Linked DNA regions of Macaca mulatta. The protein of the gene in region 1 purifies or fractionates together with the protein of each later gene. This does not show direct contact. Links are inferred from orthologs where the notes say so. Each region holds a gene or a part of one and is shown in the gene's direction. Other genes may lie near its edges.

Region 1 (4,398 bases):
TATGTAAATGAATTCTACTTTGAGTTCCTCCTCCACCTAAAAAGACAATCAGGAATCTAGAAAAATATTTTTTGGAGGAGGTAATATTTGTTTGAAGGGTAATTGGGACTTTTAAAACTTTTTTTTCCGCTCGTTATTACCTGCATTGTTCCAAAAATTGATGTGAGGCCGGGCATATCAATTTTTGGAACAATGGCTCACACCTGTAATCTCAACACTGTGGGAGACCGAGGCAGGAGGATTGCTTGAGCCCAGGAGTTCAAGACTAGCCTGGGTAACATAGCAAGATCCCGTCCCTCTCTCTCTCTCTCTCTCTTTTTTTTTGAGACAGAATCTTCACTCTGTCGCCAGGCTGGAATGCAGTGGCACAATCTCGGCTCACTGCAACCTCCGCCTCCCGAGTTCAAGCGATTCTCGTGCCTCAGCCTCCCAAGTAGCTGGGATTACAGGCGTGAGCTACCAGCGTCCGGCTAATTTTTAAATTTTTAGTAGAGACCGGGTTTCACCATGTTGGCCAGGCTGGTCTTGAACTGCGGATCTCAGGTTATCCGCCCGCCTCGCCTCCCAAAGTGCTGGGATTACAGGCACGCCATCTTTATTTTTAAAAAAAGAAAAGAAAAGAAAAAGAAAAACATAAAAACTGATGTGAAGGTATGATTCTGCTAAGTGGCACTGGAAGATAGGCATGGGGAGAAAAGCCTGGCAAACGGGCCCAGAATGAACCCCAAGGGTGTTCTTCCTCCATTTCCCCATCCCCACTCTCCCGGATGCTTAGATCCCAGATGAGGTTGTCTGCATCCCTGAAGGTGGACTGGCTGTGTTGTTCAAGAAAGATGATGGTCAACTGTACTGTGAAGGTCAGGACCTGGAATTCCTCATGCGCTGCTCCGAGATGTGGCCCAGTCTTCCAAGCGTGTGGCTGGTCTAAAGAAGCCTAAGGGATGCACTAACTCCACAGGCTGTGGCCAGAGCAGGCACACTTAGGGTGGGCGTAGAACAGGGATTTGTAGCTGGGACAGGCCCATGAAGCGACTTCAGATGAATGCACAATATTTTGTGTACAGATAAGAACATTTTCCTGGACAGATTTTATCAGATTTTAAAGGTTAAGAAGCCGTGTTGATCCTAGGGCTCCTGGACTCCTTAGACAAGAGAACCGAGGAGAAGTGGGGAAAGAGCTCAAGTGCTTAACGGAGGGAAAATGTGGCGGGCTTGCGGTGGGTGGTTTCATGGGGACTACAACTCCCAGCGATCCATGCGGTACAGCCAGAGCTTATTGGCCAGTGGAATGAACCCTCTCCTAATGTGCACATTCAAAAACCAATAGACGGGGCCATCTAGGAGATTGCCTATCCCATCAGAGGACCACTCACCTATCAGAGGACAGATATCACCGCCCACCTATCAGAGGACTGAGGGCCGGTGCTTCCGGTGACTGACCAGAGCTGCTTATCTGCGGCGGCGTGAGGTTGGGCGGCCACAGGGACACTGGTGTTTTTGTGAGGCAGTGAGAGCTAAGGTATTTTGTCTCCACTGCTGCCGGGCCTGGCGGGTGTGGGGAGGCTGTAGGGGGTCGGGAGGGAAGTGGACCGGCTCTTGGGGGATGGGGGGCCGGAGGGAGGAGATTCAGGCGTGCAGAGAGGATGAGAAGAATGGGGCGGGCCGCGTGTGCGGGGTCGCGGGATGAGGACCGAGCTGGGGGTGGATGAAACGAGGGAATATGACTGTGACTAGTGAATAACACTCCTGGGAATATGTCCCAAGGAAGTCATCCAAAGTCAGGAAGTGCTTTAAGCCTTAAGACCTCGGTCCCAGCGTTATTTATAGCGGGATAAAGTTGGGTACAGCTAGGAGCAGTTCAGTACATTATGTCACTTCACTGAGTGTATGTGAAGTGGCCTCTAAAACTAATTTATAAAACTTTTAAATAACATGGGGAAATGCTAATATATAATGTTAAGTGAAAAAACCGTGATACAAAGTTGCACAGTATGACTGAAAAAGTTTGACAGCCAAACTATGCATAGAAGAGTCTAGAGGGATGTAGTAATTTTTTTTGGATGAATGTTTTTTCGTTAACTCTTCTTAATTTTTTCCTGTGTATGATTTTTGTTTTCAAATAAGTGTAAAGGACTTGAAATCATTTTATAGTGGAAATACAATAAACTTGGAAAACAAGTGGGGGGAGGGATATACTTTTGTTTAAACCTGCTGGAAATGCCAGTTCACCTGAATCCCTTGATTCTCATCATGAGTTGTCTTTAAAGAAGATGAAAAACACAATTAAATGGTTATATACTGAGCACCGGCTCATGGTTTTCTGACCACCTCTCCGGAGACCTGAACTAATACAGCGGTCTTTTCCCTCCTAAAACACCCAGGGTTCTTGATTTCATGTTCTCCAGAAAACTTACACTCTGGAGATTGTGAAACAATAGGTACACAGTTAGTTTCAGGCAAAATCAGTAGCGTTGGGGAATGCGTGAAGGTCATTTAAACCTTGGTCCTCCTGGCCCTCTGATCTTTAACAGTGAGGTTCTCCACCACCTTGACTTTTAATTGTTAACCCTGAGTCAGTGATTTCCATATCCTTACCTCTGACTGCCTAAGGTACATTGGTACCATGTAGACATCTTACATGAAGCACATGTTAATTTCAATTGGTCACATACTACACACGTTCCTCCCCTACTGCCCCTGCCCACTCCCCCCCCCAGCAGGGTTTCACTCTGTCACCCAGGCTGGAGTGCAGTGGTGTGATCATAGCTTACTGCCTTGAACTCCTGAGCTCAAATCCTCTCAGCCTCCAGAATAACTAGGACTGCAGGTGTGTGACGCTGCACCCAGCTAATTTTTATTTTTATTCTTTTTTTCTTTTTCTTTTTTATGGAACACTTCACAAATTTGCAAGTCATCCCTGTGCAGGGGCCATGCTACTCTCTGTATCATTTCAGTTTTAGTATATGTGCTGCCAAAGTGAGCACCCACCTCATTTTAAAAAATTTTTCTGTAGAATTGGAGTCTCCCTGTGTTGCCTAGGCTGGTCTTGAAATCCTGGCATCAAGTGATACTCTTACCAAAGTGCTGGAATTACAAGTGTTAGCCACTGTGCCTGTCCTGCCCTGCCCTTCCTTTCTCTTTCTTTCTTTCTTTTTTTCTTTTTTTTTTTTGAGATGGAGTCTTGCTCTGTCACCCAGGCTGGAGTGCAGTGGTGCGATCTTGGCTCACTGCAACCTCTGCCTCCTAGGTTCAAGCGATTCTCCTGCTGCAGCCTCCCAAGTAGCTGGAACTACAGGCACGTACCACCACCCCCAGCTAATACTGTATTTTTAGTAGAGACAGGGTTTCACCATGTTGGCAAGGCTGGTCTCAAACTCCTGACCTCAGGTGATCTGCCTGCCTCAGCCTCCCAAAGTGCTGAGATTACAGGCATGAGGCATCGCACCCAGCCTGCCCTGCCTTCCTTGCCTTTGCAACATGCTCTGGTTAATGGTTCAGCAGTTTCTCAAGCTAAAAATCTGGGTGTTATCCTTAATTCTGTTTTCTTCCTCACTACTTATATTCTATCTGATATCACTGTCTGTTCCATCTGCCTTAGAAGCATCTCCTGAATAATGGCCTTCTTTCTCTACTGAAATAGTTGCAAACTTGCTTCACTTTCACTTTGTGGCATTCAAATTACTTGTCAACTTTCTTCCTTCTCAGGTCCATTCTGCATATTGTCACTCGAATATATGCTGGTTCCCCCAAGATTCCAAATTCCCCAGTATGCCCTTTATGATCAGAGAATAAACTTAGAAAGATATATCAATATCTGATAATATAAGACTTTAAATGCCTTGTTAAGACATTTCGAGGCTTTTTTATATGTACTGTAAATGTGGGGATTCATCAAGGGTGTTTATGCAGAAGAGCAAAATGATCACAGCTGTGCTTTTTTTTTTTTTTTTTTTTTTTAAAGATAATTCTACCCAACAACACATAGTATGCAGGCTCATTTGGAAAGTAGAGACTGGTATCAAGGGAACCTCTCCTTGTTTTACCCTAATAAAAAGGGAGAAGTCAGAACCTGGGCTAACACAGGAGTAGAAAGGAATGGAGCAGATTTTTGTAATTATTGCATTTTTGAGAAAAATGTGCCACATTTCTTCTTGTTACTGAAGATGACAATATTAAAATTCATTCTTCTAAAAACCTCAGTAAACTGGCCTCTACAGTGGCTCACGCCTGTAATCCTAGCACTTTGGGAAGCCAAGGCAGGAGGATCACTTGAGGTCAGGAGTTTCAGCCTGGCCTCTACTAAAAATATAAAAATTAGCTGGGCGTGGTGTTGGGCGCCTATCCCAGTTCCTTGGGAGGCTGAGGCACAAGAGTCACTTGAACCCAGGAAGTAGAAGT
Region 2 (3,815 bases), on another chromosome or scaffold:
GGAGCCGTCCAGATCACACGGTGCCGACTGCACTAAGTGGTGGATCTGGGATCAGAACCCAGGCAATCTGCCTTCATCACTTGTAACTATTGTGGCAGCCCCTTGGCCTTCGTCCCTGCTCCCCATCGCCCAGCTCTGAGGCTAAACAGCTCATAGAGGCTGGGAGACTGAGGTGTGGCGAGGTTCTAGGGTGTACACTCTGGGCAATGTGGGATTCTAAGCCAGGCCTGCCAGAGCAACCTGCCCTCCCTGGCTTCTCGTTCACTGTCTGCCTCGTGGCTAAACCCCTCTCTCCAGTTCCCCCTCCCCAGGGCTCTGCTCAGGTCAGAGCCCAGTCCTTACATGTAGGATGGCACTGAACCCTCTTTCCTGGGGTGGGAGAAGAGCTAGTTTGCCACAGAGCAGGTGTCGGGGACCTAGGGCCAGAGCGGCTTCACCTACCCGGACTGCCTCCTCCCCAGGCATGGCGCAGGCCCTGGGTCCTGACACACCATTCACAGCCATCGCCGGCAGTGAAATCTTCTCCCTGGAGATGAGCAAGACTGAGGCGCTAACGCAGGCCTTCCGGCGGTCCATCGGCGTTCGCATCAAGTAAGCAGGCGACCCGAGGCGGGTGCCAGTCCCCAGAGCCTGGGAGCAACTCCACGCCCCGGGCGGCTTGTCCTTTGTTCCGGAGCTCGGGGAAAGTTGTGATTCCCGAGGGCGCGGGTGTCAGGCTGTCTCCTCAGATCTGCTCTCTGGCTAGGGAGGAGACGGAGATCATCGAAGGGGAGGTGGTGGAGATCCAGATTGATCGACCGGCAACAGGAACGGTGAGTCTGTGTGAGTCCGTACCCTGCTGAGGCCACCTCCAGCGCCAGGGTTGGAGACAGTAGGTGTCAGGTGTGCACGGAGGTCAGAATCCCATGGAATGTTCTAGCTGCAGACTAGAGCCCAAAGTGCTGGGATTACAGGCGTGAGCCACCGTACCTGGCCTTTTTCTTTTCTTTTTTTTTTTCAATTTCTGTTTTCTCCTTTTTGCATAGCTGTGTTTTCTGATTTTGTGATCAACAAAAACAGCTTTTATTTGGGTATAAAATAGGAATGTCAAAGTGTGACCTTTGGCAATTTTGCAGGACTTTGGGCCTATGTTGTTTATAATAGACTTTATTATTTATTTATTTTGAGACAGCATCTCGTTGCCCAGGCTGGAGTGCAGTGGCGTGATCTCGGCTCACTGCAAGCTCTGCCTCCTGGGTTCATGCCACTCTCCCGCCTCAGCCTCCCGAGTAGCTGGACGGACTACAGGTGCCCGCCACCATGCCTGGCTAATTTTTTGGTTTTTTTAGTAGAGACGGGGTTTCACCATGTTAGCCAGGCTGGTCTTAATCTCCTGACCTCGTGATCCACCCGCCTCGGCCTTCCAAAGTGCTGGGATTACAGGTGTGAGCCACTGCACCCGGCCAATAGACTTTATTTTTTAGGCATGTTTTTTGTTTACTATTTTGATTAAGAGTTTTATTGAGTTTTGGCCGGGTGTCGTGGCTCACACCTATAATCCCAGCACTTTGGGAGGCTGAGGTGCGCGGATCACTTGAGGTCAGGAGTTCAAAACCAGCCTGGCCAACATGGTGAAACCCCTTCTCTACTAAAAATACAAAATGGCCAGGCGCGGTGGCTCACGCCTGTAATCCTAGCACTTTGGAGGCTGAGGCAAGCGGATCACCTGAGGTCAGTAGTTCAAGACCAGCCTGACCAACATAGTGAAACCTTGTCTCTACTAAAAATACAAAAAATTAGCTGGGCATGGTGGTGGGCGCCTGTAATCCCAGCTACTCAGGAGGCTAAGGCAGGAGAATTGCTTGAATCCAGGAGGCAGAGGTTGCAGTGAGCCGAGATCGCGCCATCACACTCCAACCTGGGCAACAAGAGTGAAACTCTGTCTCAAAAAACATTAAAAATAATAAAAATACAAAACAATTAGCTGGACATGGTGGCACACATCTGTAATCCCAGCTACTTGGGAGGCTGAGGCAGGAGAACTGCTTGAACCTGGGAGGTGGAGGTTGGAGTGAGCCGAGATTGCACCACTGCACTACAGCCTGGGTGACAGCAAGACACCATCTCAAAAAAAAAAAAAAAAAAAAAAAGCTTTATTGAGTTTTATTTGACATACAAAAAGCTGCACACATTCCAAGTGTCCAGTATGGTCGATTGGGACATACATGTTCACCCGCGGAGCCATCACCACGTCAGACTGGTGAGCACACCATATCTGTTCCCTGAAGAGCTTCCTTGTGTCGTGCCCATTTTGAAGCTGTATAAGCAGAGGCCAGAGTACAGCCAGAAGCTTATCAACACTGGGGGCACTGGGGCAACATCAGGGCCCTCTCTGATCCCCTTCCCTGGCTTGTCCCCACTCTCAGGGCTCCAAGGTGGGCAAACTGACCCTCAAGACCACAGAGATGGAGACCATCTACGACCTGGGCACCAAGATGATTGAGTCCCTGACCAAGGACAAGGTCCAGGCTGGGTGAGCAGTCGGGCCATGCCAGGCAGCCAGGGGAATGGGCGAGCTTGGGCCCCTTCCTTTCCTTACCCCACCCCCCACCCCCTGTAGGGACGTGATCACCATCGACAAGGCGACGGGCAAGATCTCGAAGCTGGGCCGCTCCTTCACACGCGCCCGTGACTACGACGCTATGGGCTCCCAGGTGCGGCCGGGACTCCTGCGATCCCCTCGCCCCCAGCACTGCGGTGTCTTCATCTCCTCCGTCACCCCCGTGACCCATGGGGCCCGGATCTTCCTGTCACCCTGACTTTTTGTCCTGGTACTCCTGGGTCTTCCCTGTAACCCTAGGACAGCTGGGTCCCTCAGCCTGGCACTGTAGCTTCACATCACCACGTGTGGCCTGTGGCTTCTGAGGTCCTCCAGGAGCCCCCATGACCCTTAGCTCTCTGGAACACCCCTAGTCCTGACTACCTCCTGGCCCTGGGGTTTCCGGATGACTCCATTTAGCCTCCCAGCTCCATTTCCTGGAGCTCCAATCTCCCCCAGACAGAGGCCTTTAGGGTCCCCCTTCATGGCCTTCCCTGCCCTGTCTCCTCCCTTCTTCTCCCACCCCTGCCCCATAGACCAAGTTTGTGCAGTGCCCGGATGGGGAGCTCCAGAAACGCAAGGAGGTGGTGCACACCGTGTCCCTGCACGAGATCGATGTCATCAACTCCCGCACCCAGGGCTTCCTGGCGCTCTTCTCAGGTGAGGCCCCTCCTGCCCTGCCCTGCCCCAGGCCTGGCAGCCTCCTTCGGGCTCCCTCTGTTCCTGAGCTCCGAGTGTGGCCCACTTGCTCCACACCCTTTCCTGTAACTCTGGCCCATGGCTGCCTCTGTTCTCCACCTGCAAGTCTGCTTCGTCCCCCCACCGCTGGTGCTGTGATGGGGGTGTCGCCCTGCCCTCTCCCCATCCTGTGTTCTCTGCCTCTGTTCATCCTTTCTGGGGATGTTTCAGTCTCCTCCTCCCTCCTTGCTTTGCTCCCCTTCCTCCACCCCTGCATCATCCTCCTCTGTCTTAGTCACACTCTGGCCCTGGAACCCACCTCCTCTCTGACTTCCCTGATGCAACCTGTGCCTCACATAGGTGACACAGGGGAGATCAAGTCAGAAGTCCGCGAGCAGATCAATGCCAAGGTGGCAGAGTGGCGCGAGGAGGGCAAGGCGGAGATCATCCCTGGAGTGAGGACCTGGGACATGGCCGGGGCAGGTGGCGGGGTGGGAGTGGGCTGGGGAAGCAGGGACGTGGGTGGTGACTCTCACACACACCCCAATCCCAGGTGCTG

The links.
Region 2: the proteins of WDCP (region 1) and RUVBL2 purify together in Homo sapiens (affinity purification with mass spectrometry; 6 studies listed by BioGRID and IntAct, counting the BioPlex papers as one, with this or other methods). This does not show direct contact. The link is inferred for Macaca mulatta from reciprocal best matches to the Homo sapiens genes WDCP and RUVBL2.

Annotation. Positions count from the first base shown.
Region 1 is NC_133418.1:100,994,397-100,998,794, forward strand, and holds the start of WDCP (WD repeat and coiled-coil-containing protein), read left to right. Parts: upstream 1-1,441; 5' UTR 1,442-1,519; intron 1,520-2,880; exon of another isoform or gene 2,881-2,984; intron 2,985-4,398.
Region 2 is NC_133424.1:61,464,035-61,467,849, forward strand, and holds part of RUVBL2 (ruvB-like 2), read left to right. Parts: intron 1-461; coding exon 462-591; intron 592-745; coding exon 746-812; coding exon of another isoform or gene 813-830; intron 831-2,405; coding exon 2,406-2,512; intron 2,513-2,599; coding exon 2,600-2,693; intron 2,694-3,114; coding exon 3,115-3,238; intron 3,239-3,616; coding exon 3,617-3,711; intron 3,712-3,809; coding exon 3,810-3,815. UniProt on the Homo sapiens protein: Possesses single-stranded DNA-stimulated ATPase and ATP-dependent DNA helicase (5' to 3') activity; hexamerization is thought to be critical for ATP hydrolysis and adjacent subunits in the ring-like structure contribute to the ATPase activity.